3 linked regions of the Sus scrofa genome follow. The protein of the gene in region 2 interacts with the protein of the main gene of each other region in a pairwise test. Links are inferred from orthologs where the notes say so. Each region holds a gene or a part of one and is shown on either strand. Other genes may lie near its edges.

Evidence for each region.
Region 1: the proteins of KCTD9 (region 2) and GEM interact in binary tests that used the Homo sapiens proteins (3 or more experiments, as listed by UniProt). The two-hybrid records come from large-scale screens. The link is inferred for Sus scrofa from reciprocal best matches to the Homo sapiens genes KCTD9 and GEM.
Region 3: the proteins of KCTD9 (region 2) and LONRF1 interact in binary tests that used the Homo sapiens proteins (3 or more experiments, as listed by UniProt). The two-hybrid records come from large-scale screens. The link is inferred for Sus scrofa from reciprocal best matches to the Homo sapiens genes KCTD9 and LONRF1.

What each region holds. Positions count from the first base shown.
Region 1 is NC_010446.5:42,460,661-42,471,337, reverse strand, and holds part of GEM (GTP-binding protein GEM), read right to left. Parts: exon of another isoform or gene 9,722-10,677; intron 9,360-9,721; exon of another isoform or gene 5,624-9,359; intron 3,881-5,623; coding exon 3,804-3,880; intron 3,023-3,803; coding exon 2,818-3,022; intron 756-2,817; coding exon 478-755; 3' UTR 1-477. UniProt on the Homo sapiens protein: Could be a regulatory protein, possibly participating in receptor-mediated signal transduction at the plasma membrane. Has guanine nucleotide-binding activity but undetectable intrinsic GTPase activity.
Region 2 is NC_010456.5:9,510,900-9,522,235, forward strand, and holds the start of KCTD9 (BTB/POZ domain-containing protein KCTD9), read right to left. Parts: upstream 6,788-11,336; 5' UTR 6,564-6,787; coding exon 6,516-6,563; intron 1-6,515. UniProt on the Homo sapiens protein: Substrate-specific adapter of a BCR (BTB-CUL3-RBX1) E3 ubiquitin-protein ligase complex, which mediates the ubiquitination of target proteins, leading to their degradation by the proteasome.
Region 3 is NC_010459.5:883,885-894,561, forward strand, and holds the end of LONRF1 (LON peptidase N-terminal domain and RING finger protein 1), read right to left. Parts: intron 8,734-10,677; coding exon 8,575-8,733; intron 8,463-8,574; coding exon 8,300-8,462; intron 5,356-8,299; coding exon 5,203-5,355; intron 1,560-5,202; coding exon 1,401-1,559; 3' UTR 96-1,400; downstream 1-95.

The sequences.
Region 1 (10,677 bases), on a different chromosome or scaffold from region 2:
GTGATGAGCCCCGTCGGGCAATCCTAGCTCCACGAATACAAGGTACAGAGAAAGAAGTTCTCCCTCCTTTGAAAAATTCCTTTGACAGCCTTCCTATATCTATGACCCACTGATTGGCCTCAGAGTCACATATCAGAACACCGGGCAACATCTTAATAAGAAAAAGTTCTTGCCTAGGCACTCATCCTCTACAAACCAAAGGAGAGAGGAAACACATGTGAACACCAACCACGCTCTCTCGAGTCTCGGGTGTCCATGTAGCAAAGGTCAGGCTTTTCATGTAAATAAATACTGACTCTTTACAAAGATCTTTCATTTCCCATGCATTAATGTTGCCCACCAGCGAACATGTTAGTTCCCAGCTACAACAGGGGAAGCCACATCTTACACTACTTAAGAATCCAATCTAATATAGATTATGGGTCCCAATGGCCTTCAGTGACGTCCATCGGGGGACATCTGGGTGACTCTGGGTACCTAGAGCACAGAGAGGTCATGGCAGGATTTGGACTTGAGCTTGAAGGCCATGTTCTTGTTGTTTTTGGCCACGATCTTGCCCCAGAAGCGTCTGGCTTTCCTGGGGATGCTCTCCCTCCTCTTCTGATAGGCCAGTCGCCGCTCGTTTTTCTCCTTGCTGTCCCGCCGGAGTCGGACCTGCCGCACGATGCCCTCAAACAGCTCCTTGACGTTGTGCTGGACAGCCGCTGAGGTCTCAATGAACTTGCAGTCGAACACCACAGCACACGCTCTGCCTTCTGGTTGGGGGTGGGGTGGGGAGGAGAAAGTCAGAGGGGCTGCAGAATAGCATCCCCCCCCACACACACACAGCCAAGCTGGATGAATCCTCTTTTTAAATGGTCCTCAAGGTAATGCTAAGTCCATCACACATGCAATGGATACGGAGGCCCCTGGGACCCGTGTCCTCCTGGAGCTTAAACAGCAGAATCTCACAGGAAGATTGCCAGAAGCAGGAGAGATGGGCTTTAGATCTGGCCTGCCAAACCCTGTGTGAAGGTCCAATTACATCAAATATTGTCAAATTCCATCCAATACTAAAAGCCATAGCCTTAATTTATTGCGCTTACTATGTGCCAGGAACTGGGTTAAATACTTCATAAACATTTTTTTGTAGCGTTACTGAAATGTAGTTGATTTACAATGTGTTGATTTCTGCCGTAGAGCAAAGTGATTCATACCTATATATACATATGGAAACGAATATGAAAAAGAATATATACATTATGGTTTATCAGAGGATATTGAATATAGTTCCCTGTGCTATACAGAAGGATCTTGTATAAACATTTTTTAGACATTCCCAACTATCTTTAAAAACACATTATCCCTTTCCAGTAGATGATGGGGGGGGGGGGTCCTTTAAAAACTTGAGGGAGTTCATATAACCTGTAAGTGGAGGATCTGAGTCCAGACCCGCTTCACTCTCAAGTTAAGAGAACTTTCTCTTGACTCAGTTTTCTGAATTGAAAATAAGGATGTGTGTACACATATAACTGAGTCACTTTGCTGTACAGCAGAAATGATCACAGTATTGTAAATCAACTCTACTTCAATAGAAGTTTAAAAAATGAATAAAGAAACAAAAAGAATCCTACTTAAAAAAAAAACTATTTAAGCTTTCATGAGTTATTTTGAAAAATTTTGAGGATCTTCACACATGTACAGTGTAATTATGGCGAATGATACAAAAAAAAGCTTTTCTGAAACAGTCTCAATTTCAAATGCTCCATTGTGTTCAATGACCAGGTGTCCAAGTTTGGTTTTGGAAAAAATGACTCCTGCAGACAGTCATTTCCTAAGAGTAAGACATTCCCAAGCTGGCTGGGTCTGTTTAGTCTTTAACAGCATTCTTTTCTCCTGGGCGGAGCCTGGCAATGCAGTATTTTGTTTTTTCACCCTTGTACCAAATTTGAATTAGGCCAATAAAATTTTAAGAGCCCCTAGGGAGTTCCTGTCATGGCTCAGTGGTTAACGAATCTGACTAGGAACCACGACGAGGTTGCGGGTTTGATCCCTGGCTCCGCTCAGTGGGTTAAGGATACAGCGTTGCCGTGAGCTGTGGTGTAGGTTCCAGACTCTACTCAATCTCACGTTGCTGTGGCTCTGGTGTAGGCCGGCGGCTACAGCTCTGATTCGACTCCTAGCCTGGGAACCTCCATGTGCAGTGAGTGTGGCCCCAGAAAAGACGAAAAGACAAAAAAAAAAATTAAGATTTTAAGGGCCCCAAAGGCACTGGGTGCCAACTCAACAAATAGGAATCATGCCTGAACTAAATACGACAAAGTATATGTGATGCCATTGGACTGGCACCTTAACTGGAAAGTTAAGGTTAAGGTTATTCAGGAAGCAAAGGGTAGGGGCTGGAAGGGTGTTTCTAGGGTCTACAGGAATCAGAGGCAGCCAGAGTAGAATTCTTAATCTCAATAGTTTCTTGAAATCAAAGTTCCCATCCTTCTTGCATGAAGGTGCTACTTTCACTTCCTGGGACTCTTGAGAGATGTCCCTGGAGAATAGAGAGGATGAGAAAAAAGGGCTGGGAACTGCCAGTAAACCCGAGTATGACCTCTTCTCTAAAAGAATTCCAGGGAAAGCTTGGGGATGGAGAGACTGAAATCCTGCAGGTAGACCAGATGATCTATTGGGAATGTGGGTGTCTTCGAGTGTGCGTAAAACTCCACGTGGCATCTTAAGAGTCCCTGGTTCCAGCTTTGTGTAAGAGGAAGGGAAGAGCAACTGTTTAAAGGAAAATACCCAAGACCCAGAGATAGTGTCTGTGGTAACTGGCACCACTCCTCTCACCTGATACAGACACTTCCCGGCACCGTACCAGGTCACTTTTGTTGCCAACCAAGATTATAGGAATGTCCTCTGTCTGCCGGGCCCTGCGGAGCTGGATTCGCAGCTCAGACGCCTTCTCGAAGCTGGCGCGGTCCGTGATGGAGTAGACAATCAGGTAGGCATCCCCGACTTGCATGCAGTGGTCTTGGAGCCACTCGTTCTCCCCCTAATGAAATGAGAAGAACTCCCATTGAGTTCAGATGAGCTGGTAAATGAGGTGTCCGTTTGAAAGAAACCATGCGTGTATCCTAAAGTATCCTTGCTGATATGAGAAAGAAAGAAAATTCATTCCGACTCCCCAAAAGGCATTGGTCTTCCATGCCTACAAGATGTCTGTGGCTACAAAGACTGCTGGCTCATGGGGTACGGATGCCAAGAAGTTTTACTTTCTGACTCCTTTCACAGCTTGAGTTGATAAATTATACAATGACTCTGCCAAACAGTATTTCCAACTTTATTTAAACTACCCCAAATGAGCCTTTCCTGGCTTTCAAAAAACTCTTTCGCCTCTTCCAACCGATGAAATCAAGAATTCCTTCATCAGCATCAGAAGGTTCTCGATAAACAGAAAATCTAACGTATATGCTCAAAAGCCCCAGATCTCTACAAAGCACATGCTGAAAACTAGGATGGAGAGTATCAAGGTCGTATAATACGGTTTTACACAGTTTAAAATGATCATCCATACTTATTGGCACTTTCCCTACAACAAATTGACTTTTTGGTATTTCTGAATAGAAGGGCAAATCACTGCAACTTGCTTGGTATTCAAAGCTCATTTATGAACAACTTGTTCCTTAGAACAGTTTCATTCTTTAGAAGTCAATGCTTTTAATCAAGAAAATGAGTTCAACTCATCTGGAACTGCCCACAAAGGACAATGTCACCCTTGCACCAAACCGCCTGGTGGAAGGCAAGCCTTGAAGGAACTTACAGGTTCTGCATACCTTATTTTCCCACATGTCCAGGAGTATAATTGTTGCACTTTCCCCATCAACAATCAGTGTTCGTTCATATGTATCTTCTGGAAAAGAAAGAACAGTAATATTAAGGTCAGCTAAACACTTTTATATAAGACGGCCATGTAGAAATTGATGCTATAAACTTTCTAAATATGCAATTAATTATGTACATATACAAAGTAAAATATGTAAAAGTTCACAAAGGCAATTTTTTTTTAATGGCCGAACTCTTGGCATATGGAAGTTCCCAGGCCAGGGACTGAATCCAATGCCAGATCCTTTAACCCACCTGTGCTAGGCCAGGAATCAAACCTGTGCCTCTGCAGTGACCCAAGCCACTGCAGTCAGATTCTTAATCCACTGGCCCACAGTGGGACCTCTAAGACAAATTATTTTTGAGTCACCTTCAACAACATTCTACATATATTCCTCCAATATCTACTAAGCAGAAGAACTTCATCTTTGGAACATGTATCATTAAACACCTGAAATGAAAGGATTCCTTTTTCATCATTCCTATATCTTTCATATAGGAAAACTATTTAGGAGGATAAACTCACTGTAGCGCCTTTTTTTTTTTTTTTTTTTTTTTTTTTTTATGTCTTTAAGCTATTTCTTGGGCCGCTTCCACGGCATATGGAGGTTCCCACGGCATATGGAGGATAAACTCACTGTAGCGCCTTTTTTTTTTTTTTTTTTTTTTTTTTTTAATGTCTTTAAGCTATTTCTTGGGCCGCTTCCACGGCATATGGAGGTTCCCAGGTCAAATCGGAGCTATAGCTGCCGGCTTATGCCAGAGCCACAGCAATGCAGGATCTGAGCCGTGTCTGCAACCTACACCACAGCTCATGGCAACACCGGATCGTTAACCCACTGAGCAAGGGCAGGGATCGAACCCACAACCTCATGGTTCCTAGTCGGATTCGTTAACCCCTGCGCCACGATGGGAACTCCCACTTCAGCGTTTTTGACTCAGATTCCAGGGCTGCTGTCATCAGAAAACACTGACTGCCCAGCAGAACTGTAAGCCCCACTCAGAAGCCTTACATCGAAAGCCACTGCGCCTTTCAGGGGGGTGACTGCCAAACATTCACTGGCAATTTCAGGAGTTTTCAGCTCAGAGACATTTCTCCTCTTTTGAGATGTGTAAGGGAAAAAATCTTGAGGTTACTCCTATCTTGGAGTTCTCTTCATTAAAAAAAAAAAAAAAAAAAAACCAGTTCCATAGGAATAAATGGGCTTGTTTTCCCATCTCAAGTAGACCAGAAGTGCAGCCTCCAGCTCTACTCGGTAATAGAAACTTTCCTCCTTGCACTGGAGCCCAGATTGAGTATAGTGAAAGGGTAATGCAGTAAAATGGGCCAGGGTAGCTCCAGGCCAGAAAAATCGGTGGGAGAGGGGAAGAGAGAGGATTAAGTGAGTTAACTGGGATTTTTGCAAGAGGAATTCCCACTAACTCCACACAACTGAGCTCATACCCGCTCTGTTTTCACAATGAGGTTTCCTATTTTGAATTTCATCATTTGAAAATTATGATCTTCATAATGATTTTTTTTTCTTGGCATTTTAGGGCTGCACTTGAGGCATATGGACGTTCCCAGGCTAGGGATCAAATCAGAGCTCTAGCTGCTGGCCTAGACCACAGCCACAGCAACACCAGATCTGAGCTTCGTCTGCAACCTACACCACAGCTCACGGCAATGCTGGATCATTAACCCCCTGAGTGAGGCCAGGGATGGAACCTGCATCTTCATGGATACTACAGGGGTTCATTACCACTGAGCCACAACAGGAATTCCCAGAGATTTTTTTTTTTTTAAATCACTTTTCTTGCTGTTCCTTTCACCTAGAATCTGTTCTAACACCCAAAAGCTTATTCCCTTACCTCTTTCTGAAGAATGTGTTCTCTGACCATCTATTTAAATTCCATCACCCTCCCCTATCAATACTCTTTCCTCCCTTCCCTGTTTTATTTTTCTTCATCGTGCTGAGTGCCAAAAGAACATGAATCATTTAACTTACTTATTTTATTATTGTCTGTCCCTCTCGCCCCCTCCCCCTGACTGTTAGGACAGACATCTGCATCTGTAATATTTACTACCGTATCTCCAGCACCCGAGCCAATGCCTGATAGAATGCGGGTGCTCCGTAAACACTTATCAAATGAATGAATGATAAATACAGCATTGTGGCTGTGAGCACAAGCAAGCCAGGATTCAAATCCAGGGGTCAGTTCTTATTAACTATTGGGCTCTGGACTGATTACGTAAGGTCTCTGGCCCCACCTTCTTCATCTGTGAAACGAGACTGATGACAGTACCCATGCCTTAGGGCTGTGTGACCATTATATATATTAAGCTTGGGCACAAAGTAGAAATGCAATCAATGTCAGTCGTTATCATCACTTTTTCAGATGAAACTATTATAGGTAAATGTTAGCTTAAGAGCACTATTTTGGAGGAACCAGAACATTTCTGTTTTAAAACAGTGACAGGTTTATTTAAAAAAAAAAAAATGCTCCTGGTTTAACGTTTGCTCATCTAAGAATTTGGATCAGGAGAGTTAAACACGGACAAATGGGAAGACAATCAGCCAGGGGTTGCTCTGTCTTTCTGTCAGTTTACCCACCTCTTTAGGTACCATTCTTCTAAACAATAGTAACTGTTTTCTGCTTAGGGATTTAAAATCTGTTATTCCACGGTGTTTGCCATGAGGGCATGCATCGTGGATGGGCTCAGAGCGGAAGATGCATAATTTGTCTTCCTGAAGAGTAAAGGAAGACCTCAACAGATAAATTGACAGGACCAAACGTAAACCACCAAAGCCTGAGCAGCACAACAGGGGTGGGGGGTTGACTGCCGCTTACTGCTTCAGAGTTTTTCCCTTCTCTCCCTTCCTGCATTCAGAAACCTCAAAAAAGCACTTTCTCAGCCCTCAGCCCATCGCCTACCACCCTAAAGCAGGCACTAGGGATTCACTTGAGTCCCCAGGAGTTCCCATAGGAATATACCATATTTCAACAGCTTAGGGAAAATGCAAACTCAAATTTTCTCTTGGATCAAGAGGTATCAGAAGAAGTCTAGAGAAAAAGTGGACTAAAGATTCTAGCTGCAAAAGCAGAGCCAAACTGCCTTGCGGTTCTGGAAGGTTCCTGACAGGATCACACTGTCTGGACTCACCTCTGCCTGAAAGTTAGTGTTGGAAACCCAAGAGCCTAAAACAATACATCTCCGCCCTGCTTTGTGCCTCTGCCCTGCACCTGGCTTTATACATCACCTCTGGCTACAGGCCCAAAGGATTCCTCAAATATACAAAGCCTCCGGCCTGACCATCTTCTGCCACCAGGACGGCACCTGCTAGTAACCAAAGTTCTAGTTTCTCTTCCTCCCTTAGTCACTCACCTTTCAGGCTTTTCCAGTGCTAATCCAGTACAAAGAGGGAAAATGGAAGAACGAGGAATTTGAGAAGAGCCCTTTGAAACTTCCCTGGGCTATGACATGTGGAGAAGGGTTCAGGCCTATTGGCTTGTAAAGCTGTTGAGTAACCTGATCTGGGGAAGTATTCTTTTCCTTTTTTTTTTTTTTCCAGTGCTTTCCAGGAAAGCATGGGGTGAGAACTCACCCTCTGTCTCACAAGATGGATCATCCTGATGGCATGGGATGGTTTTTCTAGAACTGGGTGATTGTGATCAGAAGCCACTTTCCCTGGACTCTCGCACCTTGAGGTGGCTTTCCTCAAGTGACCCCCACCTTGAGAGGTCCCGGCATTCCTCTCCCCTGAAACTCAACTGCTTTCAGCCTTCAGAGCCCAAGGGATCCCAAGGAACCCTGGAAGGAAAGCCTTGCTCAGGAAGACTGACCTCTCCTCCAGTGGCTCACATCTCCTCTGCATGTCTCAGAGGGCCCCAGCCAAGAAGGACCAAAGTGGATGAGGATTTCAAGCAATGAAAGGGCCCACTGTGGAAGATAAGCCCAAGGAAAGGAAACAACAGATTCACAATGAGCTCTAACGTTTGCTCATTGGCCACTTACTCTGTGTCAGGCACTATGCTATTTCCTCTAATCCTCCTCTACCCCAGAAAGTAGGGACTGTCCCTCTTTTACTAATGAGGAAGCTGGAGGGGGTACCTTAGGACAAGCTATAGGTATCTTATCCAAGAACAGCCCACTAAGTCATTGTCAAAGCCAGGGTCCAAACCCACATCACCAGTGTTCTCTCCAGAACTTTCCGTGCACATATGTGGTGCCTTCCCACCTACCTCAGGGATTCCAAATCCTAGCTATCTTTAGGGTTCCACTCAGAGACCACCTCTTCCATGAACCCTTTTCTGATTTCCACAGCCAGAAGTAATATTCATTTTCTCCTGTGAATTCCCACAGCACTGCCATTGTACCTCTGTGAAGACATTTGTCACACCCTGTCTTGATTTACAGTTGGGTACAGCTGATCTCTATTGCATATACTGTAAGTACCTTTAAGGAAGAAGCCCCATGACTCTTTGTGTATCCTCATAATATCTCATTAAGCTCCATAGTATGTGTTCAGTAACTGTTGAGGAATGGATGGATGGATGGATGGATGGATTGACGGATGGATGGATGAATGAATAAATGAACAACATTAAATGTGTACAGAGAGTCATAAGATTATTGCCACATAATCTTAACAACATCCATCTTTATTTCAAGAAATAATGGTGAGAGTTATGGGTAGTTTTTTTACGGTTAATGCTGGGAAAAAACAAAAACAAAACAATGCAGGGAAGTGCCTTGAAAAACTCTCCTCTTGGAAAACCTAAAGCCAACTAGTGATTCCAATGGCCACCTAAAGTAGGGGTATAATCCTAGACAGCATAAATTAAGTTACTCAAATAGGCCACATAAGGTAGGATGAGTCACCCCAGAAACTTCTTGTTGTCAAGAGTCTCTGTTTGAAAAGATAAGGAAAGGGTTCTCCATACCAACCGCTTCACCTCCCTATTAAACGAAGAGGCTTGCCAAATATAGAAGCCTGCCTTCCCAAATTTCAGGGCTGGGTCGATCTTCTTAGTACTCTATGCCTATGGGGATACCACCCATATCTATGCCTGTGATAGATGGACAAAGATTTTTGAAAGTCTGCTATTCACTAACTTTTTTAATTCCTTCCTCTTACAGAAACAAACAAAAATTCTCAATGGATCTCTTCTTTCTATCAATCCCCAAAGTACTTTGTTGCTACTTCTTAAGGTATCCATTAATTTCCCCCTGCCCAGAATTACAGCCACTGACACTTAGATCCTTCCTTAGAGGATATAAACAGTGCACCTCATTCATCACTGGGGACCCCAGAGACTAGCACAGAGGCAGGCATGTGGCCGGCACCCAGCCCAATGCTATAGTATTTAACAGCACTTGGATGCTAAAGCCAGGGGCTGCCGAGTACGGTGAAAGAACGTAGGATTTAGGTGCAACTATAACTAGTTTTGACTCCTGACCAGACTATGAACTAGGTTTCCACCCAGGGAAAGTCACTTGACTTCAAAAGCTTCCACTTCTTCGCCTGTAAAATAGAGATGTTATTAATACCAAATTGGTTCACTTTTTATAGCTATTATCAAAATACTTATGGGGAGTACCTAGCACAGTGCCTGGCATATAGCAAGCCTATTAATGGCAGAAGGAGACCACAACCAAACTAGGCTTATAAAATCCCAACTTCAAACCCCACCTGCCCCAGGGTGATTCCAGGTAAGTCCCTAAGGCTCAGCTTACTCATATGAGTACAGTTCTAACGCAAGGACCAAAATTAACAGTAGCAAACATAAGGCACCCAATAAAGTGCCTCTCCCGCTGCAAATACACATTCTAGATGGCAGTTCCTCCTCCCTTTCTCCTAGCCTTTCCAAAGAAAGAGACGCTGACCTTATTTCTCCCTTAATTCTTGTTTAGCCATCATCCCCGAGGCTTCAGAAGGGAGGAAAGAAATCAATGTTCTCTCAATGAGTCATCATTTAAAGCCAGTTCGGGAGCTGCCTCATGAAGCAGTGAACTCCTCCAACACTGGAAGAATAAACGTTGAGTAGAGATATGAGCTGACAATGGTGTGTAAGGAGTGGGGTTCCGATGCATCAAGTGGAGAGCAGAACCAAGTCACACTAAGGCATCTTCCTACTCTGCAAGCCTGTGCTTCAGCTGAGAGTTGCAACTGAGCGTCCAGACAGACCATGCCACTGGGGCAGGCGCTGGAAGGCTCTTCCTTCATTTCTACAGCTGCAAATATGGACACACAGTGACCCTGGCCTTGTCTAAGACAGGAGTGATGGTTGAAAGACATTGTATGAAAACCATTAACTATTAGCATCCTCTTATGACTTCCCAGAATACAGTGTTATCCTTTATATGTATTTGAGGAATGTGTGCATTTTTGAGATTATGTCACCTCAAATCAGGTGGGGAATTGAGGCTTAAATAATAAATATTTTAGATGAGACTGACCATGAAAATTTGTCATGAAAAGCTGTAAGACTCTACAAATGTATGTATCATCATTGTTATACTTCAATTGTTAAAAAATATTGTGCTATTTAAAACACAGATTTTAAACAGCTGTATACCATCCAAAGCCTCTAATACTGGTATAAACAAACTACTGAATTCATCCTAACAGTTTTTCAAATTGGTTTGGTTTTAGGTATCACCATGGAAAAAGGCTGTGTCTGCACTGAGCTCTTGCAAGGTTCAGGTGAGAGCCTGCAAAAGCCAGAGGTGGCATCCTGACCCTCCAGTTCGGTCCTCTGTGATCAGTCTCCCCAGTCCCTTTAGAATTGGAACCTAAGAAATTCCCTTCTTGGACCAGCTTCTATCTACAAGCATTTTCA
Region 2 (11,336 bases):
TTTTTGTGTGTGAGTCAGTCTTTCCTCTGACATAAAGTTAAAAAAAGTATACAGTAGAAATGCAATTCTAAAGTGATCATGAAGTTCATCTAACTATGGAAAGTGGCTACCTTTGGATAGTAGAATTAAGGTTCACTTATCTTGTGAATTTCTTTATTTGTTCTCCAGATTTGCCACAATGAACCTGTATTATTCATGCAGTAAGGAGAAAAAGTTATAACTTAATGTCTTCATAAATCTAGATACTAGACTTACAAATAATTATTTTTAGCAATTGACAAGTAATTTGGTAATTAATAATTTTCTTGAAATTGTATAACCAAAGGCCCATCATTTGAGAAAGCAGCACTGAAATTATTGCAAAGAATCTTATGGTACTGCAAATTTGAAAATGTCCCTTAAGTTGGGTCAACATACTTGGTTTTCATTTGAAAGGCATTTTTGGCATTTGTTTTCAACAAGATCACTTTAGCTGATTCTCTTAGGCATACTAACTCAAAAAAAATGCAATTATCCTGCAGACAATACTCAAAATCTTTTATATAAACTAATGAGAATATCAGATTTTAAAATGTGATACACATGGAAAAGATGTGAGAATGTGTCCAACAGACTGGCACAGGTATTTTTTATTATATATCAGCTCCAGGGTGGGAGGGAGCAGCAATGGAAATCTTATATATCACAGATATGAGTTCTTTTATTTACTAAGCTTACTGTAGTCCTCAGAGAGGCCAAGCATTTACAAAATGACCATGCTTACAATGGTTATTTGCCTCATGTGTGTTGTATGTCCTAGGGTGGACTTGAGGTTTCCATGTCATTCTAATTACCCATTTTAATAACCTAGGTACTATACTTGGAAACTTTCAATGGGGTAAATTGAGAAGCACGTCTATTAAAGTTTATGGCCTCTATATTACACTACTATTTTTTTCTTTTTAGATCCACACCTGCGGCATATGGAGGTTCCCAGGCTAGGGGATCAATCGGAGCTACAGGTGCTGGCCTACACCACAGCCACACCAGATCCAAGACGTGTCTGTGACCTACACCACAGCTCAAGGCAACGCTGGATCCTTAACCCACTGAGCAAGGCCAGGGATCGAACCTGCCTCCTCATGGATGGTTCTTTAACTGCTGAGCCACTACAGAAACTTCCAGTTTAAAGAAGTTTTAATTTGCTTTTAAACACTGTGTTCAAGTAGTAACCTATGTTATTCAAATTTAAAAAGTAAAGCCTGTATATGTATTTAAAACATTTTTCTATGCCTACAATATCTATATATAATACAAAATCCATAACTACCTATTGGATTTATGCAGGTCTAGTTACCCAACCAATCCACTTGAGCACAATAACTAAATGTACAAGCGATTTTCTCTACCTACACTTTCAGTTTAATACATTTTAAAAATTAAAATTTCCTAAAAAGATGACACTGGCAAGACAAATGTTAAAATATTCAAAAATTTAAAAGTCTGACAACAGCCAAGTGTTAAAAGGATATGGATCGATGAGAAGGTTTACGTAACACTGGTAGAATATAAATTACTGCAATGACTTTCAAAAACAATTTGCTTTTTTTTTCTTTTTTTTTGGCCATGCCTGCCACATGTTAAGCTCCTGGGCCAGGGATGGAACCCACGCTGCAGTTGCAGCCTGTGCCACCAGGGAACATCCCAATTTGGCATTATTTAAAAAAATTAAACTTTCACATACCCTAACACCCAATAATTACAACTTAAATATATATTTGAGCAGAGGTTCTCAAAAGTGTGGTTCCTAGACCAGCAGCCTTAGGATCACCTGGAAGTAGGTCAGAACCTCAAATTCCTAGCCTCACCCCAGACCTAGTGAATCTAAACCTATAGGGGTGGGGGTCCTTCAATAGTTGTGCAATTCCTCCAGGCGTCTGCAATGCGTGCTAAAGTTTGTGAACCACTGCCCTAGAAAGGTGTTTGCACATGTGCACCAGGATACACAGGAATATTCATGGCAGCACTGTCAATTTTATAGCAAAGATTTAAAAAAAAGAAAACCTGTCCATGGACAGGAGAAGGGATAAATTGTAATGGTATTTTTATATGTATAATTATTATAAAAAAGTGAAAATGACTAAACTATCACTATGTGGGACATTATGGATGAAATCTTAGAAATATTATATTGAATGAAAAACTCAAGTCCAAAAAGACTATATACAATGATACCAATTCAGGATATGTTGTGTCCCAAAGCTGACAAGACAAAAAAATATATAGTTTGGTTATACACACATACATGACAAAGCTATTTATTGAAAAAGAAAAAAAAAAAAGGGTGGGAAAGAGAAGTACAAAATTCATAAAATTGGCTGCCTTTATGGGAGATGCAGGGGGACAGGAAAGCAGACAAGCACCTTAAGATTTGGTAATGTGCTATTTTTGGGGTTGTATGGTAGGTTTATTGATATTTGTTACATTATAGTCCTCTTTTTGGGCAGTTAATAATCTTGCTTGTATTCTTTTATATGTATCAAATATATTTTTAAAACATTTAAACTTGAAGAGCAAAGTTCTTTGTCCGTGTGTGTGTGTCCGTCCACACCTGTAGCATGTGCAACTTCCTAGGCCAGAGATCAAACCCATGCCACAGCACTGACAATGATAGAAGCTTTAACTGCTAGGCCACCAGGCAACTTTACAAGGTTCTTTTTAATGTTCAGATTTTAAGAGGCAAAGCTTTACATGGATTTTCACCGTTCTTCAACGGAATACAGTGAATTCAAATCTGGGTACTTAATACCAACAATATATTTGTGACCTAATAACATCAAAGCCAGAAGACAGCTAAGTCCTGGACCAAGACCATAAACATCAGTACAGAATTAAGATCTATTTCATATCCTGCTGTAGCTGCACTACCTGGCATGGTTCCTCATACAAAGACGGCTCTCAATAAGTGCTGACCTAATGAATCAATGAGGTATACAAAAGGCCTACAACTGGCACATTACTGATTACACTAAAATTAAAAAAAAAAAAAAAAAAAAAAAAGCAACTTATGTCCACAATGCACAGAAACTGAATTGCCATTGGGTTGCTCAGAAGCCACTCACTACATGCAGAGAGAAATCTGAGTTCTCATTTCAAATTCCTCGATGCCAACTATTAGAGAGAACACTAATAAGAGAACGATATGAATTCTGAGGCATATGGAGAAAGGATGAAAGGTTCAAATCTGACTCTTTTAGAGTAACTTAAAAGACTCCCCTTTTTTTTTTAGAAATATGGTCTTCATTATATTTTTGACTATGTACCCCATCAGTAAAGCGTTTTGGGGTATGTGCTCAAACATTTGCATATTTACTTATTTATAAACTATCACTGCCAGGAAAAATATGATTTCCCAAATGATAAGAAGACTTTTACTGACTTAAGATTCAGCCAACAAGTAAAAATCCCTTAAAATTTTATCATTAAATTTACTGAACTTCTGCCACATTCAAGACTATCTTTAAACATTAAAAAATGAAAAAAAAATCTAAAATTGTCTTTGTGTGCTGGAAAATATTTTAAAATGACTTGCTCATTGGAATGACTTCATCCTATCATTGGCTGATATTTCGAAGAACCATATACACTTAGGGAGCAATTTATTATTCATAGCAGTTATTAAATAGGACTTCAAATAGTCTTCTTTAAAATTTGGCCCTTTTTGCCCTCTTATCACATCCAGAGATCCACTGTTTTTAAAAAATCTGATAGTTTATATTAGGAGAAGTGGCAGCCCTGCACTTTCTTGTGGCTTGCGTTTGCAAAATTAATACTGTGTTCAATCAGCATCTAAGTCTTTGAAGGAATCTTGTAAAGTCACCTGGCATTTTGGTGAGGACTAACTTAGTTAAAACTGGATAATACAAATCTTAACCTGGCCCATGTAAGCCTCAACACATCACAACATGCCAAAGGGAACCAACCAGTGAAGAAGTAACCATTAACTCTTTTCACATGTGAATGCATTCCCTTCTCTCAGAAGACTTGGGCCCAGCTGACATAGTGATTACACATCAAAAGCAGGTGTGTCTTTCCAGATTGAAAAAAATCCGGTCTTAGCATTAATTTGCATTTTTAAGTAAAAAATACAGGTAAGGCATATGTTATTTCTTCTTAAACTCTCCTAGAACTTCTTGCACACCCCCTGTGGTGGACCATCTCACCCCAGAAAGCAGTTTTAGAAAATGCACAGCTCGCTCTTCAACATGAAAACATTCACCAGTTACACTTATGTTTACTCAGGATATGGAAAAGTCATGGGAGCATATGATGTAGCCCTCAGGGTGACTTTGTGCCTCCCCAAACCCAGGCTTCACAACCGGCCCGGCAACCACTGAACAAGCTTTAAAGGAGAAAAACTTATTTGGAAAAAAAACCAAAAAAAAAAAAACCACCCAAAAACAGGCATTACTCTTATGCCCAGGAAACAAACACAGAAGCTAGGCAAATAAGGAGATAATGAAAGTGACACAGATATTCCAACTGGTGGATAGGAAATCAAACTCTATCGCTGTAGTGTGTCGTTTCAGCTTCATGAAAATCATGTCACCACCATGCCAATCTTGGCTAAATACAGTTCCTTTATTTATATAAAAAGCAGGCTGTTATGTTTTATTCTGCTTTCTTTTGTCAAATAAGAGTAATTATACTACTACTTTCTTAATCAGCTTAAGGGATCAGAGGAGAAACACTGATAACTTTGGCGCAGAATATGCTTTCCAGTTAAGTAGTAAGGATTATGGTCAGACTTATTTTTAATACCGAATCATACTGGTATTCTCCAGTGGGGTTTGCATGATCTTTGTAACAAATATATTAAATTATTTGAGGATTTTTTTTTTGCCCAGTCTTCCAAGATTCTCAGACAAAATGTTTTTAAAGCAAATAAAATTTAAATCCAAAAAACTAACCTAGTCAAAACTAGAGAGCTTTCCAAAACAAACAAACAAACAAAAAAAAACCTTATTAAAAATATGGCAAGACCAAGCCAGCTGATTTTTGACAAGAACAAAATTCAGTAGCTTCAGAAGAGATTTAGAGAATAGCTAAATATTTAGGACAGGGTCCAAACATCTTGTCTTTCATGGAATAACAGAGGAGAGATGTTGAATAAAAGGGTCAGAGGTCTATTTTTGAGAACAAATTACAAGTGTGACTTTAGAGATATTAAATCTTTCTTCTAGTAACAATACATATTTTAGATTACGAGTGGTAGTTATCAACAGACAAAATAGGTACCGACAAAGTTAATAATGGTCAGAAATAACATGAACCTGTGAAACCTATTTAAGGTAGCATTTATGAAAATGCAGGATCCTGAATTTATGCCAGTTGTTTTCATATGAGTATCAAACCTCTAAGACCAGAAGAACGCAAAACTGTAGCCAACAAACTAGGGTGTGGTTCAGATTTTTAGAGCACATTTACTCAAGCTTGAAGAGTAGTTGAAAAGCCCTTTATTTTTTTTTTCTTCACCTTGGCACAATGACAACATTTAAAAATTTATGTTCCCTAAATATGCAGGAAACAAAGCATTCTCGCAAATAAGACAGTGAGGGCAATCTACCTTCACCTCGGACGCTAAGGCTTAGTTATTTCTAAACGTCATTTAGCCACACCATAAATGTCTGCCTTGAACAGTCAAATTTTCCAAAGAAGCCGAGCAACTTTCATGGGTGGGGCAAGAGGCTGAGAAGGAACAGGATTCATTTTGGCTAGCTCCAGCGCTGCACAAATATTTAGCACCACACCCTCAACAAAGGCCTAACACAGCAAAGAGTAATGTCAAATCAACCCATTTTGGTCTATTGTCCCAGTCCTCTAAGGAAATGAAATTAGGTGGATTAATAAAGCGAGTACAGAAGTTTGGCGGCGGCGGAGCTGGGGTTCCTAAAAGAGGGGCGGGTTGGGGGGACCATCAGGAAAATGTCACTAATTTTCAATCCTTCTATTCGATCTGGGATTTACTTATCCACCGATAAAAAAGAGTTTAATTCTTTTCACCTGATTAATGTCCCATGCCTTAGTTGTTACCACCACTTTCTGGAGCAGACCATTACTCAGCACGAAGGTGGGAACCAGCGTTTTCGGGAGCCAGGGGTGGGGGGCAGCGGGGTATCGGGGGAGATGGGAAGAGGAATAGAAGTCTCCAGCGCTCAGGTGACAGCGGTCCTCTGTTCTCCAGGACCCCCACCTGGACTTAGGAACCATTAAGCACAAGCTGACCTGCGCTGGTCCCCATATCAGCTGGGGCGTCCAAGGGCAGACTCAGGCTAGGGATCCCCGAGGTTGAGAGGAGGCCGCGGGGACCCGACGCACACCTTCTCCAGGACACCCCCCAACCCCGGAGCACGCCCACCTCCCCGCTCCCAGCCCCTCTCCCCAACTTCAGCCCTCTGCCCTGCGAGCCCGCTCCGCACTCTGCTGCCCTCGCCCCCCGCAGACGGGCCCGCCTCGCCTCCTCCCGACCCCCTTACCTTTCCATTCTTGGGGCTGCCGTTAAGGAACAGGGTCACCCGCCTCATCGCGCTGCCCCCACTGGGTCCTGAGTGAGTCGCCACCCTCCCACCTGGCTCTCCTCCCACCTTTTTCTTCTCCCGCCCTTCCCCTCCCGCCACCCACTCGGACTCTCCTCCCTTCGCCACCTTCCTTCCCTTACAGACGCACACACACACAGGCACGCACTCTCCGTCCCACACCCCAAGGTTGGCCGGTCCTCCTTCCCACCCCGCCCCTGGGCTCCTCAGTCAGCCTGGGGCCCTTCCCCCACCTCTCCCAAACTGACTCTAAGCTTCGCCAATCATCCGGCCGCGCCGGCCAGAACTCAGCCAATCGTCGCGCTGCACTGGGCGGGCTCTTACTAACCCAACCCAGGTGGAAGGAGGGAACAGAGACTGCTGTCTAGCCTACGGAGAAGGGTTATCGGCCAATCAGAGCTGAACCAGGAGCCAAGCGGCGGCTCAAAGCGTTACTGAGCAGGCGCAAAGCCAAGACCAGGTAGAGCTCATCTGCATACAGAGGCGGAGGTTGATGGAAGGAGGCGGAGCGCTGAAAGCGAGCCACACCAGTCAGCGCCTTCCTATTGTAACCCCTCCCACTCTGTCAGCGCACACAGGAAACGGCTGCCGTCGAGACTGGCTGATTGGGTAAGAGCAGCCGACTGTTCTGTCAGGATTGGCCCAATGATTCTTTTCGAAGTTTGCAGCATCCAATCGGAAGAGCGGGAACTAAGCTACAAGCCATAACCGAAGGCTTCCTCCGCGAGACTCTCAAGAAAGTAGTCTCCACGGACGGAGGTCAATCGCTGGTTTCCCTGGTCACTGTGTCACTGCAGCTAGCGGTGATGTCCCTCCGAGCTCACGAAGCCACACCTGTTCCTGGGACGGCGAGGTGAAGACCTGGGAGCCTTCGGGGTGAGCGTGCACACGTGCGGATGGCGGCGGCGTAGAGATTCGCAGAGCAACGCCGGGACGACGAGGAGGCGGGGCTGGCGATTTGAATCGGGCGGCGGGCCGCGGCCGGGTGGAGGGGAGGGTTCAGGTTTACGCCGGCTCTGGGGATCCGAGCGTCGGCGGCGGGGGACGAGGTAGCCTCCTCGCTGCTGGTTTGGCGGCCGACAGTTGCTTTCTCGAGCGAACCCTTCAGGACCAAAGAGCCGAAGTCTAGAGCGCACGACACTCATCGGTGGAGCGCTCAAAATAAACCCGACCGGAGGAGAGCGGAGCTGCGGGCGCGAAAGGTAGGCGAGTGGCCTGGGTGGGATTTCAGGGACGGTGCTACCGCAGAGATGTTTTTTTTTGGCATGTTTCTCAGAGGTGTGTTCTTCTGGATCACCCCTTTGCTTTTTAAAGTGCAGATTTCCCGGGCCCAGCCAGATCTTCTGAATTAGAATTTTTGAGAATCTGCAAAGCTGCATTTCTAATAGGGTGCCCAGTTCAATTCTGATGTTCGCTAAGGTTTAAAAGCCTTGCTTTATAGTATGAGATCCGCTTTGTTTCCCACATTTCGCTTTAATTTAAGCTCCAAAAGTTGTCTCTTGTCATCTGCCTGTATAGATTGTATTAGAATTAAATCTTGAAAGAGGATCTTGATCAAATCACATTTATCTTGGAGGTGGGGCTCTTTTTCTTTCATCTCTTTTTCAGATGGATGCTAGTTCGAAAGACAGCGAGCCCCTTGAAACCAAGGAGTCTGCTTTTAACGCTGGTATGTAGTGACCTGGTATCTTTCTGTAAAACTTAAGGTTTAGGTCTTTTTCTTGACAAGGATGTTTAGCCCTCACCACGTGTTGTCTGTTTCAGAAAATACTTCTTTCATATTGGGAAATGGGAAGCTTGTCACGCCTCAGAAGCACTCAGCTGAAGTGACTCCTAATCGTTGTACATCAGATACTTTTAAATCGCCTTTAAACTTTTCCACAGTAACTGTGGAGCAATTGGGAATTACACCTGAAAGCTTTGTAAAGAACTCCTCAGGTGAGAGAGTATTTTTATTGCAGTGCTTTTAAAAGCAATAAAAATTAAATTCTGTTTTGTTCAGCTACCCTGTCTTAGTACTTTATGCATCTAAATTGACCTTCAAACTTGCTGGATCAGGGAGACCAGGTCCCACGGCTCCCAGCATGATGATGTGCCTAAGTCACAGCTGTGCTCCATGGCCAAACTGGAAAAGAAAATCACATTTTGACCTGATACATAAGATAGAGAGGCGTGTGTGCTATAAGCAGTAATACATTCTATGGTCATGTGTGGCAAAAATAAGAGAAAGCTGAAGAGCAATTAAGAGATTGTGACATGGGAATTTCTGTTATGGCTCAATGGGTTAAGAACCTGGTATAGTGTCATAGGATGTGGGTTTATCCCTGGACTCACTGAGTGGGTTAAGGATCCTGTGTTGCTGAGAGCTTTGGTGTAGGTCACAGGTGTGAATTGGATCCAGGGTTGCTGTGACTGTGGCATAGGCGTGCAGCTGCAGCCCCAATTCAGCTTCTAGCCTGGGAACCTCCATATGCTGCAGGTGAGGCCCTAAGAAGAAAGAAAGGAAATGTGACATTGCAAGATTGGCGTATGTCTCTTTCAAAGTCACAAACAGAAAATTGACTTGGGCTAATCTCCTTCAAGGAGTAGAAATGAAATTCACCTGTGAAGTCTGACTATAGCTGGAGAATAACGGGAATGGAATTCGAGAACAGCATTTAGAAATGGAAGGTAATGGGGGACTTGAAATACAGGCACTAGACTAGAAATACAGGATAGAGAGCAGACCAAAGTTGCACGTCATCCCACGTTCCCTTCTCAAGAACATCACTCTTAGACTTTAAAGAGCTAGATTCAGGAGTTCCCATTGTGGCTCATCAAATTAAGTAGTGTCCTTAAATAGTATCCTTGATGTGGGTTTGATTCCTGGCCTCTCTCAGTGGGTTAAGAATCTAACGTTCATAGGCTGGCTGCTGCAGTTCAGATTTGACCCCTAGTCTAGGAACTTCCACAAGCCGCAGGTGCAGCCCTAAAAAAAAAAAAAAGAAGAAGAAAAGAAAGAAAGAAAGGAAAAGGTAGATTGATTTTTGTGGGTTTAGGTGCATGGCTGGAATACAGGGTATTGTGCTGAAGGTAGATCGGTATCTGAGAGAAACAAATTGTCTTGAACACTTAAGGACAGGAGAGAATGTGCTTGTGGGTGGGGGGTCATCCTCAGGGATAAGACTGATTAAAGTCTTAGTCCAAAGCAAGCCATTACCAACTCTGGAGGAAATAGGAAACAAAAATGAGACCTGTTAATTAAAATATGTTCACATGCTTGTTCCCTAACTTTGATAAAGGCCTTCTATGTGCCAGGCTCTGCTCTAGGATTAGACAGTAAATCAGACGAAATAGGGGTACCCACCCTACAAGTGGTGGGTGAACAATTTTGCCTATACTTTTATACCTAGATTTCTGCACCATGTGTCTGTCGTGTTCTCTCTCAGGCTGGTGGATCATATTCAGTGCCTGATTGCAAATGATTGCCTTGTTTTATTCCAACTTAAAAAGGTGTTCTCATTATAGGAAAGTCGTCATCCTACCTTAAAAAAGCCAGACGACGCTCTACAGTTGGTGTTCGGGGCTCCCCTGAAACAAACCATCTGATTCGTTTCATTGCCCAGCAGCGGAGTTTAAAGAATGCTTCTTCAACCAGGAATTCCCCTTTTCAGGTAGGATTTTCTTTAAATTCCATCACGAATTCTTCTAGGAGAATGTTTTTCTTTGATGGAAAGCTTCTTGTACCATTGCTGCTCCCCAGCATACCTCATCTGTTTTGGATCTGGATAGAAAGTCATATTTTCCTCTGTCTAACAAAGATTGTGCAATTAGCATAAACATTGGTGGAGAGCATGGATCTACTAAGAGTTATGAGGAGTTCCTGTTGTGATGCAGCAGAAACAAATCTAACTAGTATCTATGAGGATGTGGGTTCTATCCCTGGCCTCGCTCAGTGGGTTGAGGATCTGGCGTTGCTGTGGCTGTGATGTAGGCCAGCATCTGTAGCTCCCATTCAACCCCTGACCTGGGAACCTCCATGTGCCGAAAGTGCAGCTGTAAAAAGCAAAAAATAAATAAATAAAAGTTATGAGATCCTGAATAGAAAATGACTTCCTAGAGGTGCTTTCTATTTTATTTTGCAATTTTTTTTTCTAGTTCCTGTCTCTTTTTCTGTAATGAGGTGAAGCAATGTTTTCCAATCTTTTTCCTTTTGATATCTTGTCTGTAAGTGTCTAGCTTTTTTGTGTGACTCTTAGGTGTTGGCATGTGGGGTCAGAAGTCCCTTCCCCCCACCAAATGCATTTGGAATAAGCTTGTAGAAAGGAGCAAATTATCTGCTGATGGGGAAGTATTTAGATATTTTTGCCAATTTTTATCAGAATAATGCATGCTTGTAAAAAGTCAAGTAGTACAAGGCTTACTATGGAAGACAGCCCCTGGCTTACGTTTATTTGCCTCTTTTGGCCTTTTTAGTATTGGCCTTCTTATTTTAAGGAGTACTTTTATTGCCACTTCTTTATTTTTTGGTTTTAGACACTGTATGCATGAGGCTAGATTGTGCAGTGCAGGACTTCTCAAAAATTATCTGCAGGTTTCTGGGAATTCCAGAGTCCCATCTTAGAGGTCCCTGAGGTCAAAATTGTTTTTAAAAACGGCACTCAGGTGTTGTTTGCCCTTCTCCACTGTGTTGGTGTTTGCACTCATGGTGTAAAAGCAATGGTGGGCAAAACGGATGGCACCAAGCTACTGTTTGACCTTCATCGCTGTTCAGCACTCATA
Region 3 (10,677 bases), on a different chromosome or scaffold from region 2:
AAGAGGTTTGAAAACTGTGCTTTAGAGCATGGTTTTAGGGCCTAAAGCTTCCTTAGGATACTGCATTATTTGATCAAAAGGTGACTAAAAAAAAGTATTTTGAAAGCTACAGTTTATGTGTCATGGCACAACAGTTAAGCAAAACTCATCTGTTCTTTATGTATCTTGATTCCTCTGCTGATCTTTTTTGTCCTTGACCTAAAATTTAAGAAAAAAAGTACTATGAATTTAGCTTTTATTCAAAATTAAATAAGCAAAAGCAAAAATTTTAAGAAACTTTTACAAATTACTTACATAAAAGAAAGTTAAGAGAGACAGTCACAAGTCTGCAACAAATAATTACAAAAGTATCTAGGGCAGCATGAATACAGACCATGTCACAGCATGGTGACCTAACTGTGATATGAATAAGGCATAACTAACATTTGCACCAAGACCAGAATTTAAAAAAAACAAAACGTACTTTAAAAGCTTAGTTCTACATTAAGCTTCTTCACTTCCCTCAGATCCTTAATGGGTTTATACTAGGTAATTTTTTTAAACAAACACATCATGTCAAACTATAAATTACACAGATGGGCAGTTAATGTGAAAAGCCCCCCTTAAAATGTACAGACTGATACTGAACTGAGCTCTCCATTTACCTTTATGTACAGTTAAGTGTAAACCATATTTTCACAGTTTTAAGTGTTTTATGAATAGATGCACAGTACCATGTCAGGTTTGCAATTGTTCCTGAAAACTGGCTCTAGATTCTGCATCCGATGCCGGTCGGCCATTGGGATGCAAGTATTTACATAAATAAGAGACTGTGTCATAGTCAATGGTCAAGACAGTTCAGCAAGAGCGGTATTTCCAACGAAGAGTGATACTCAATACCATAGCTTACATACTTGTGCAAATATAAGCATTAGGACAGAGAAATCTGAGGCAAATTCAACTTGCAAAAACTTGTATCGCTACTGTTGTAAACTTGGGCAATAAATGACCCTCGGCAAGTTCTGCTCTCTATGGCTTTTTTTTTTCTTTTAAAATTTTAAAGCCAGAGAAAATGCACCCATACTGCACGCACGCACGTGCACACACGCACACACACACGCACACACACGCAAAGAGTTCTCATTTCATTTAGAGTATGGTACATAGTGCAACTTCATCACAATGTAGAGGTTTAACACACATTCAGCGTGTGTTTTTCTGTGCAAGTTCTTAGTGGTCTAAATCCTAGTTGAAGGTATTTGTTTGCAGAACCACATGATTCAGGAGGTTGAAGAAAAAAAAAAAACAGAACAGGTTCATTATGTTTCTCAAACCAGCACTGGATGTGCAAAGGCAGCGGACAATCTGGCTGTCACCACAGCCAGATTAGGGTAACTTGAGAGGAAGATCCAAGCAATTGGTTACTTAGATTGGTCTCTAGAAAAATAGGTCAGTATATGCTGTATCTTTGTCAACCGTTCTTTCAAAGACTTCATTGACAAAACCGACAGCTGATATCGGGGATCAACGGGAAGGACAGCAAGAAGCCACCAACACCACGCAGGTCCATTAGGGACTGCCTAAAAATAATCCACATATTACAGTTTTAATAAAACAAATATTTATGTAATCATAGCAGTAACAAATCATCACCAAGCTAATCCTTAATGAACACTATGGAGTGAGATCCTATCTCAAAGTCCTCTTTAAATTTTTTGATTTTTTTATTTGAAGTATAGTTTGACTTACAATATTATATTAGTTTCAGGTGTGTAACAGAGTGATTTGATATTTTATAGCTTATACTCCTTATATAAAGCTATTATAAAATATTGGCTATATTCCCCGTGCTGTAATGTATTTATTTCACACCTAGTCATTTTTACCTCTTAATTTCCTTCAACCATTTTGCCCCTACCATTCTGGTAATCACTATTTGTTCTCTGTATCCTTGAGTCTGTTTCTGATTTACGTTTGTTTGTTTCATTTTTTAGATCCCACATAGAAGTGAAAATGTACAGTATTAGTCTTTTTCTGACTTATTTACTTATTTTAACTTTTTGTTTTTTAGGGCTGAAACCACGGTATATGGAAGTTCCCAGGCTAGGGGTCAAATCGGAGCTGTAGCTGCCAGTCTACGCCACAGCCACAGCCACGCCAGATCCAAGCCATGTCTGTGATCTACACCACAGCTCACGGCAACACTGGATCCTTAACCCACTGAGCAAGGCCAGGGATCAAACCTGCATCTTCATGTATACCAGTCAGATTCGTTACCACTGAGCCACGACGGGAACTCCCTGTCTTTTTTCTGACTTATTTCACTAAATATAGTACTCTGCAGGTCCATCCATGTTGTTGCAAATGGCAGAATCTCATTCTTTTTTTTATGGCTTAGTATTCCCTTGTGTGTGTGTACATGTGAATATTACCAGAAAATACACAAGCACACATATATACACACATCTTCTCTACCCATTTATATGTTGACGGACACTTAGGTTGTTTCCGTATCTTGCTACTGTAAATAATGCTGCTATGAACACTGAGGTGCACGTATCTTTTCAAATTAGTGCTTTCATTTTCTTTGGATATATACCCAGAAGTGGAATTACTGGATCATGTGGTAGCTCTATTTTTTAATTTGTTTGAGGGACCTCCATACTGTTTTCCATAGTGGCTGCACTAATTTACATTCCCACCAACAGTGTTGGAGGGTTTCCTTTTCTCCACATCCTTGGCTAACACCTGTTCTTATCTTCCTGACAACAGCCATTCTGACAGGTGTGAAGTGATATCTCAACATCAATAATCATCAGAGAAATGCAAATCAAAACACATCTATCAGAATGGCTATCTCAAATCCTTTATCAATCATGCAAGGAAGATATTATTATGCCCATGTAAAATGAGGAAACTGAAGCTCATGAATATAATGCAAATTGTCCAAGTTTTCTCAGCTCATATGTGGCAGAGCCAAGATTCAAATCCAGACCTGCCTCTGGGCCAGCACTCTTTCCTCTGCACAACACTGCCCTAAACAGGGTGTCTCAACCTCAGGCTGCTGGCATTTGGGGCTGGACTGTTCTTTGTTAAGAGGACTGTCCTGTGCATTGCAGCCCATTTACCACATCTCTGACCTCTGGCTACTGACGCCAGTAGCATCTTCCCAGTTCTGGCAGTCTTAAAAATGTCTCCAGATATTGCCAAATGTCTTGTGGGAGCAACACTGACCCCAGTTGAGAACTGCCTTCTTAAAATGTATATTTAAAACACTGAGCTAAGTTTATTGATATTTTTCAATTTCTTCAAAGACTTGTGGAATCCTAGGAAGGATTTAAGAATAAGACCTCAGCCTCCAGTTTCATCTGAAAAATAAACATTATCTCCACCAAGGAAGACCCTCTGATGTTTTAAGGTTGGACTATAGGCTATGGAAAGAAGGAAGAATTTATATAAAAGAATGTTTAAGCCACCTTCACTACACATTGCATTGCTTTTCTTTTTTTTCAAATTAGAATAACATAAGAAAAAACTGAAAATTTATTCATAAAAAAGTAGAACAGAGAATTGAATATATGGTATGAATTCAAATACATAAAATATAGTAAGTATATACACCAAAATGTTAACAGTATTCATGGATGAATGGAGATATGAGTAAATTTTTTTTTACTAATTTCCTAAATTTTATATAATGAACAACATTTACAAGGGGAAAAATTTTTACATGATGTCATTCTTTTTTTTAAAGTTTTATTGAAGTATAGTTGATTTACAACATTGTGATAATTTCTGCTGTACAGCACAGGGAACTGCATACAATCTCCTGGGAGGAAGCACGATGGAGGACAGTGTGGGAGGGGAAAACGTGTCTAAGTGTATGGCTGGGTCATGATGCTGTGCAGTGGAGATTGGTATGGCACTGCTGACCAACTATACTCTAACACAAATAAAATACAAAAAAAAATTTCTGCTGTACAACTAAGTGATTCCATTATACATGTACACGCATCTGTTCTCTTTCAGATTCTTTTCCCACATAGATTATCACAGAATATTGGGTAGCGTTCTCTGTGCTCTCCAGCAGGTCCCCGGTGGCCAATCATTCCACATACCTCAGTGTGCAGATGCCAGTCCCAAAGCCCTAATCCATTCCACGCTCCCCACCTCCCTGCACCTGTCCCCTGTGGTAACTACAGTTTTTTAAAGTCTGTGAGTCTGTCTGTGTTCTGCAAATAAGTTTGCATTGCTTTTTAATGAACCTGAAACAGAAGCTTCAGGATGACAAAAGGAGCTATGACATAATCTGATCTCAACAGGCTCCTCCTATAATCACACTGGGTTTCTCTATTGGTGTCCTCTTTGTTCTCAGCTCATCATTACCACCACCACCTCCTTCTGCAATTCAGAGATGTCAGAAATGACATTTCCCAGAATCCCCTCCCCTGTGTGGTTCCAGGTTAAATTTGACCAGGCAGAGGCACTCTTGGGAGAGGAAGCCATTATTTCCTGGAGTCTGCTGCCAAGTGTGGGCAGCCGTAAGATTTGCAGAAGCCTTCCAGAGAATTCTTAACAACCACCTGCTCTACTACTGCAGACTGAGATAAAACTGGTGGGGACTTCCCTGGGATTCCAAGGGATGACAGCATCTTCCCCTCAAGTCTTGAGCCTATGCTGACTGAGGCAGGCAGAGATTCCCTGAGTTCCACTGATGATGGCCCTGACCTTCCTTTGTCTAGCTCTCCCAAGGGCTGTGTCAACTACATCCTACAATAAACTCTACTGGCTATTTTATTTTCCTGACTGAATCCTGACTGATACTATATGACTCACAGAAAGCAATGGAAGAGGACTGTGGAATAAAAGAGGGGGTGGTAGAGGTGAAGGAAAAGAAAGCAATGTTGCATTTTCCTACAAGCTGGTTTGTTAACTTATTTGATTTTATGCTCATCAAAAGCTACTTCTATCAGGTTCAATCAGATTTAGGTAGCCAGGACAAAACAAACATATGGCAACTGACAATATGCTGGGCACTGATGAGAACTCACTTTAGAAATGGTGTGATGTTGAAATTTCAAGGTCAGCTGAGATGTGACTACTAAAGATGGGACAAAGGAAATGCTGTGCAAAACTGAAGATGAAGAAAGAAACTTAAAAATCTACCAGTTTAGGCTGACACAAAAAGTGAGACTTTTGGAAACAATATCAAAGCCATCATACCTGCAGGTTTTCCTCCCTCCCCGGCATTGATCCAAAGTGCTGAAGAATTTGGCTTCGAAATCTGTCTCTTAAATTCTGAAACCAGCTGCAGGCTTGAGAGTACACCAAGTCATGAAGCTGTCGGAGATTTTCGATCTCATCTTCATTCTCAACCTAGGAATACAACAGTCAGTAAGATGACTGTGCCTCATCTTCCCAACCATACTACCAACCCTGTGGTAATGGGAAAAAAAATTAAAAATAGGGAATACCTATTTCAGTGCTGGACCAGAATATTACTCTTATGCAGCATACACTGTACAGTTCTGCCTCATGCAGAAAGGGCCACCCTGAGGAGGACAGCAAGGCCTGACCTCCCAGCCTAGCCAACCTAGCCTTGCTGACTTAGCAATGCAACACTGCAGAACCCAACTAACTGCCCCCAGCTGGGAGGGGTAAGATGGAGAGCGAGTTCCCAGACAAAGGTCTACAGGGATTGACAATTCCTTTCTTCTTATGGATCCATGGATTTTGAAAGTAGTGGAACAAAAATTTAGCAGAGGAATACAGCTGCTAGAACAAAAGGAAAGACTGGGGGAGGTTTAAGGTGTAGGTAACATGGCAGAACAGGATGAAGGAAAAGCATAATTACATCTTTAACCAGGAAATTGGGTCCAAAAATAAGAAAACAAAAACCCCAACAAAGAACTTAGTATATAAAGCCAGAATATCCAAAGAGAGAGACTATATTATGCCTTGATAAACATCTCCTGCTATCCCCATCCCCTCTGTACCCCCTTCAGACATCTGGCTCATCAAACTACAAATATAAAATTAAATGCATCAACCCTCCAGACTAAGATCCAGAAGCGCAGTCTCATAAAACAGAGGTGGGAAGATGGAACATTAACTCATCCATCTCATACTGATTTTTTTTAACACACACCCATATCCTTCTCACTCCATGGCAGGGAAAGCCCTATTGCACATATATTAGCACATCTGAACAAATACCAGGCCTGAATCAGCCTTTCATACTTCATGTATGACAATATAAAAGCAACAATGGAACTTTGAAAACATCCTGAGATATAAAAGGTAAGACAACATACTTTTTATTTTTGAAAGATTTGAAATGAAAAATAAAACCAAAGTTTAAAAAGCATCTGCTTTACCACCACAACATGAATGTACTTAATACTTAATTCCACTAAAGTATACACTTATAAATAGTTAAAATGGTGAATTTTATGTTACATATATTTTACCATATTAAAAATTTCATCTAAAAAAAGGTAGAAGAGCCATACAATTCAAGAATTCTGGTCTTGGAATTGGCTATACAAGATTTAGTCCTCTGCTAACAAACATTGGTTTTGATATGAGTAAGAAATAAACGTGTGATTGCTAAAACTATTCAAAAAGAAAAAAAATATCTGCTTTCCACCCTTACAAAATCCAAGAAAACAAACCATGGGCTCTAGTAATCAGGGAATGATAAAAACGATAAGAGTCTTGAATTAGAAAATGGAGGAAAGAAGCAGGCATACGTTCTAAAGGCAAACTTTTAAAGTTAAGAAACTTTGCTGCAATAATATAACAACAGAATCACCTTGCTGTACACTAAAAACTAACATAACATTGTCAATCAACCGTAATTCAATTAAAAAAAAAAAAAAACCCAGAATTTAAAATGTCATTAGAAGACAGAGAAAACAGAATTGCTACACTAAGGGAAAAAATCCTTTGATATAAAAAACAAATTTGAGAATGAATGAATATGAAATCATTATACAGATGAGGCACTAAACATCAAATCCATAATTCTTTCAACATGCTGTTCTACTATTATATATTTATATATTGTCATATGTTTAGCCATATACTTAATGGATTTTGTCAGGAAATCCAATATATAAAGATTTAAGTTTATATAAAACTAAAATAAGGTTATTAGTTTTACAAAAAATACCACCTTAAGCAAATGATTCCATTAACCAAATATGCCTAAGCACACACCATATCAATCAATCAAAATTCCAATTTATACAATACTTTTGGCCCACTGCACACAGCAAAGTTTCCCCACAGCATCTCTATAATATGATAGGAGAGGTAATCAGATTAATCAAGTTTATTAGCAGAGAGGCAATATGGTATAATGATAAAACCTAGCATTTGGAGCCAGAGAGCTGGCTTTATATTATTTTTATTATACTACCTACATGATATTGAGTAAATTAATTAACACTTCTGAATTTTACTTTCCTCATCTGCTAACTATCTCAAAGTTTTGAGAATTCAATAAGCTAATGTTTGTAGAAATGCCTAATGTCAATATTTAATAAGTGCTGACTGAGATGAAGGGCTCAAACAGATCAACGAACAAGTGACAGTGTAAGATCTAAGTGTTTTTAATGCTAAGGATTTTGCCCTTAACTTGATATTTATAGTATCACAAACCACTTTTCTGATACTTAAACTAACTGTAGATGGTAAAGTAGATACTGGAAATATCAAAAGGGGAGCACTAACCCCATCTAAGAAAGTTATCACAATAACCCTTCCCAGGTAAGATATCATCAAATGACTATACTGACAGTGCTTTATCTGATGCCTTAGAGTTTGAACTCAGCACCCAAATGTGTCTATTTTATCACTGAGGTTATCTTAGGCATATCTTAATATATGACACAATTTTTCAGGGACTTAATGTGCTAACTTTATATCAAAGTTCAATATACTGATTATTACATCAGCCTTGACTACAATAAATTCAATTAAAAAGGACAGAGATTAGCAGGCTTCAAAACTTTGGGCTAAAAGTTCAATTCAATCCTTTGCTATTATTAAGTGACTACCATGCAGATACACACATTGTAGGCACTGTGCAGGTTGTCGAGCCAGTAGAAATGAATGAAATCTCGATTCTAGTCTCCCCATTTCTCTTGGAACTCGCCAACTGAGAGCAAGACGGGTAAAAGGTAACATAGAGCTAATCTGCATCAGTATTGCCAAGGGCCTCTGATAGGAAGAACCAGAAAATCAACCTGTAAGTCTATATAATGTCTAGGACAGAGTATACCGAAGCATGCTGAAAAAGAATAGTTTTTAATACCTTAACATCTTCCAGATATTCAATGTCTGCAGTGCAATAGCCATCTTTCATTCCTCTTTTTAAAACCCGAAATCGCTTTCCTCCAACTGTATCAACCACAGACCTTCCATCAGGCAAGAAATGTACATTTCTAATTTGTAACATACAACCATAATCTGCAAAACTAAAATAAAAATTCTAATTAATATCAAAGTTCAAGCAATAAGCATGCACGCTGTCAGCAATATTCAAAGAAAATTCTGGTATCAATCAAAATATTTACACAAAAATCATACCTATTTTGTGTATCACTGACACACATCCCAAACTGTTTTGTTCCAGTTTGTATACTTCTTCGAATCATCAATCTGTATCTTGGCTCAAATATATGAAGAGGGCAAGGCACAGTGGGGTAGGCCATAGTGCAAACAAATATTGGAACATTCTTGGTCAAGCTGAAGAAGAAAAAATTTTCATTACTACATATCAGAAGATACAACAAAAATGAGTGAAGTGTGAAACAGTAATAAACAGTATAAAACAAAAAATAAATTAGCTGTAAAATCAGGTGATTTTTTTTACTCTTAGCAAGAAGAGCAATTAGCATCCCAATCCTTTAAGCTCATGTGATGCAGTATAAAGCCTAAAAATCTGCTTGTGATCTTCTTATAAGCAGAATTTGAGATATTAGAGGTTATAATATGGAGCTAAGCACTTCTGTAAATCAAAAAGCAATTGATTACAACCACTATTTTATATTAAAAATGTTTAAAATACTTGTAACATGCAGAGTTGATATCTTTTATCTGTAACACTCTTACACTTAGATAACAGCAAGGAAAAAATGAGCTCCCACAAAAGACAAAAAGCAAATCGTTAAAAATTCTTAGGTATTAAAATATTTTCATACTCACTACCAAAAATAAGTATTTGATGAGATAACATTTTTTTCCAAATAATTAAAATGACACCACCTTTTTTATTGCCACATTGGCAGGAAATATGGAGAATAAAGGCAATGCCCAGCTTTGGCAAGGGTATGGGGAATACTGGCAGTGCAGGAGGCAGTCTGAAACAGTACAACCATACTGAAAAAGAACCTGGCTATAAATACCACAAACTTTAAAAAATATTCATATCCTTTGAACCAACTGGCTCACTTCTTTTCCTGCAAGTACTATAAGAATGTTCAACGTAGCACTGTGTATAGCAGCCAAAAACTTAGAAGCAAAACGAGAGGGCCAGTAAAATAAATTATGATATAACCTTAAAATGAGATACTATATTAAATGTTTAATGAGAAAAATAAGTTCTAGAATAATAGGAATAAAATGATCCCATCTTTGTTTAAAAAAATATATATATATATATATTAACCAGGAAGGATATATACCAAAATGCTAATGATTCCCTATGGCTTTTTCCCTACTGTTCACTAATATTTTCTAGCCTTTCTTCAAAAAGACCTCAAACTACCTATGTAAAGGTAATATTTAATATATATGTTTAACATACAAGCCCTAGTTCCTCTACTTTCAAAACTGTATATTCTACCATCACTGAGCATTCTTGTGAACAGAAGAACTGGGTGGTGGTGGGGAACCAAAACAGTATACCTCTTAAAAGCAAAACTTTTAAGTACCAGTGGCTAAGCAACCTCTTCAAAAAAAAAAAAAAAGCCCTGGGGAGTTCCCACCATGGCTTAGCAGAATCAAATCTGACTAGCATCCATAAGGGACTCGGGTTCGATCCCTGGCCTTACTCAGTGGGTTAAAGATACAGTGTTGCCCTGAGCTGTGGAGTAGGTTGAAGACATGGCTCAGATCCTGCGTTACTATGGCTGTGGTATAGGTCGGCAGCTATAGCTCCAATTCAACCCCTAGCATGGGAACTTTTATATACCATGGGTGTGGCCCTAAAGAGACAATAAATAAATACATAAATATTTTTTAAAAGCCCTGTTAACAAGGCAAGATGCCCTGAGCTTTCTGTCCATTACACTCCAGCTTCCTTTATGTCACTACTCCTGTCATCCATGGACTCCACTCTTCTGTAGCAAGGGGCAGAAGAGGGGGTCTGGTCCTATCACTGTGTTTAGGTATCTCAAAAAATATCAGCAGCTTTCTTATGTCCAGCATTTTGCAGTATTGGTCAAAAAGGTTCACAACCTTCACATCAGAATATTTTCTACCATAAGATCACACAATAAAATATCAGTTCCACAGAAAACAAATCAATACTAACTTCTATAAAGAAAAGATTGGAAATCTTTCTTTTTTTGAAGGCTACTGACTGGCCCAATGAAGACATTTGGTGAGAGCATACTGAAAAAGAAAAGTCTGCAAGCACAATTATTTTTTTTCTTAGAAAGTGAGAAATATAAACAATTTAATTCATAT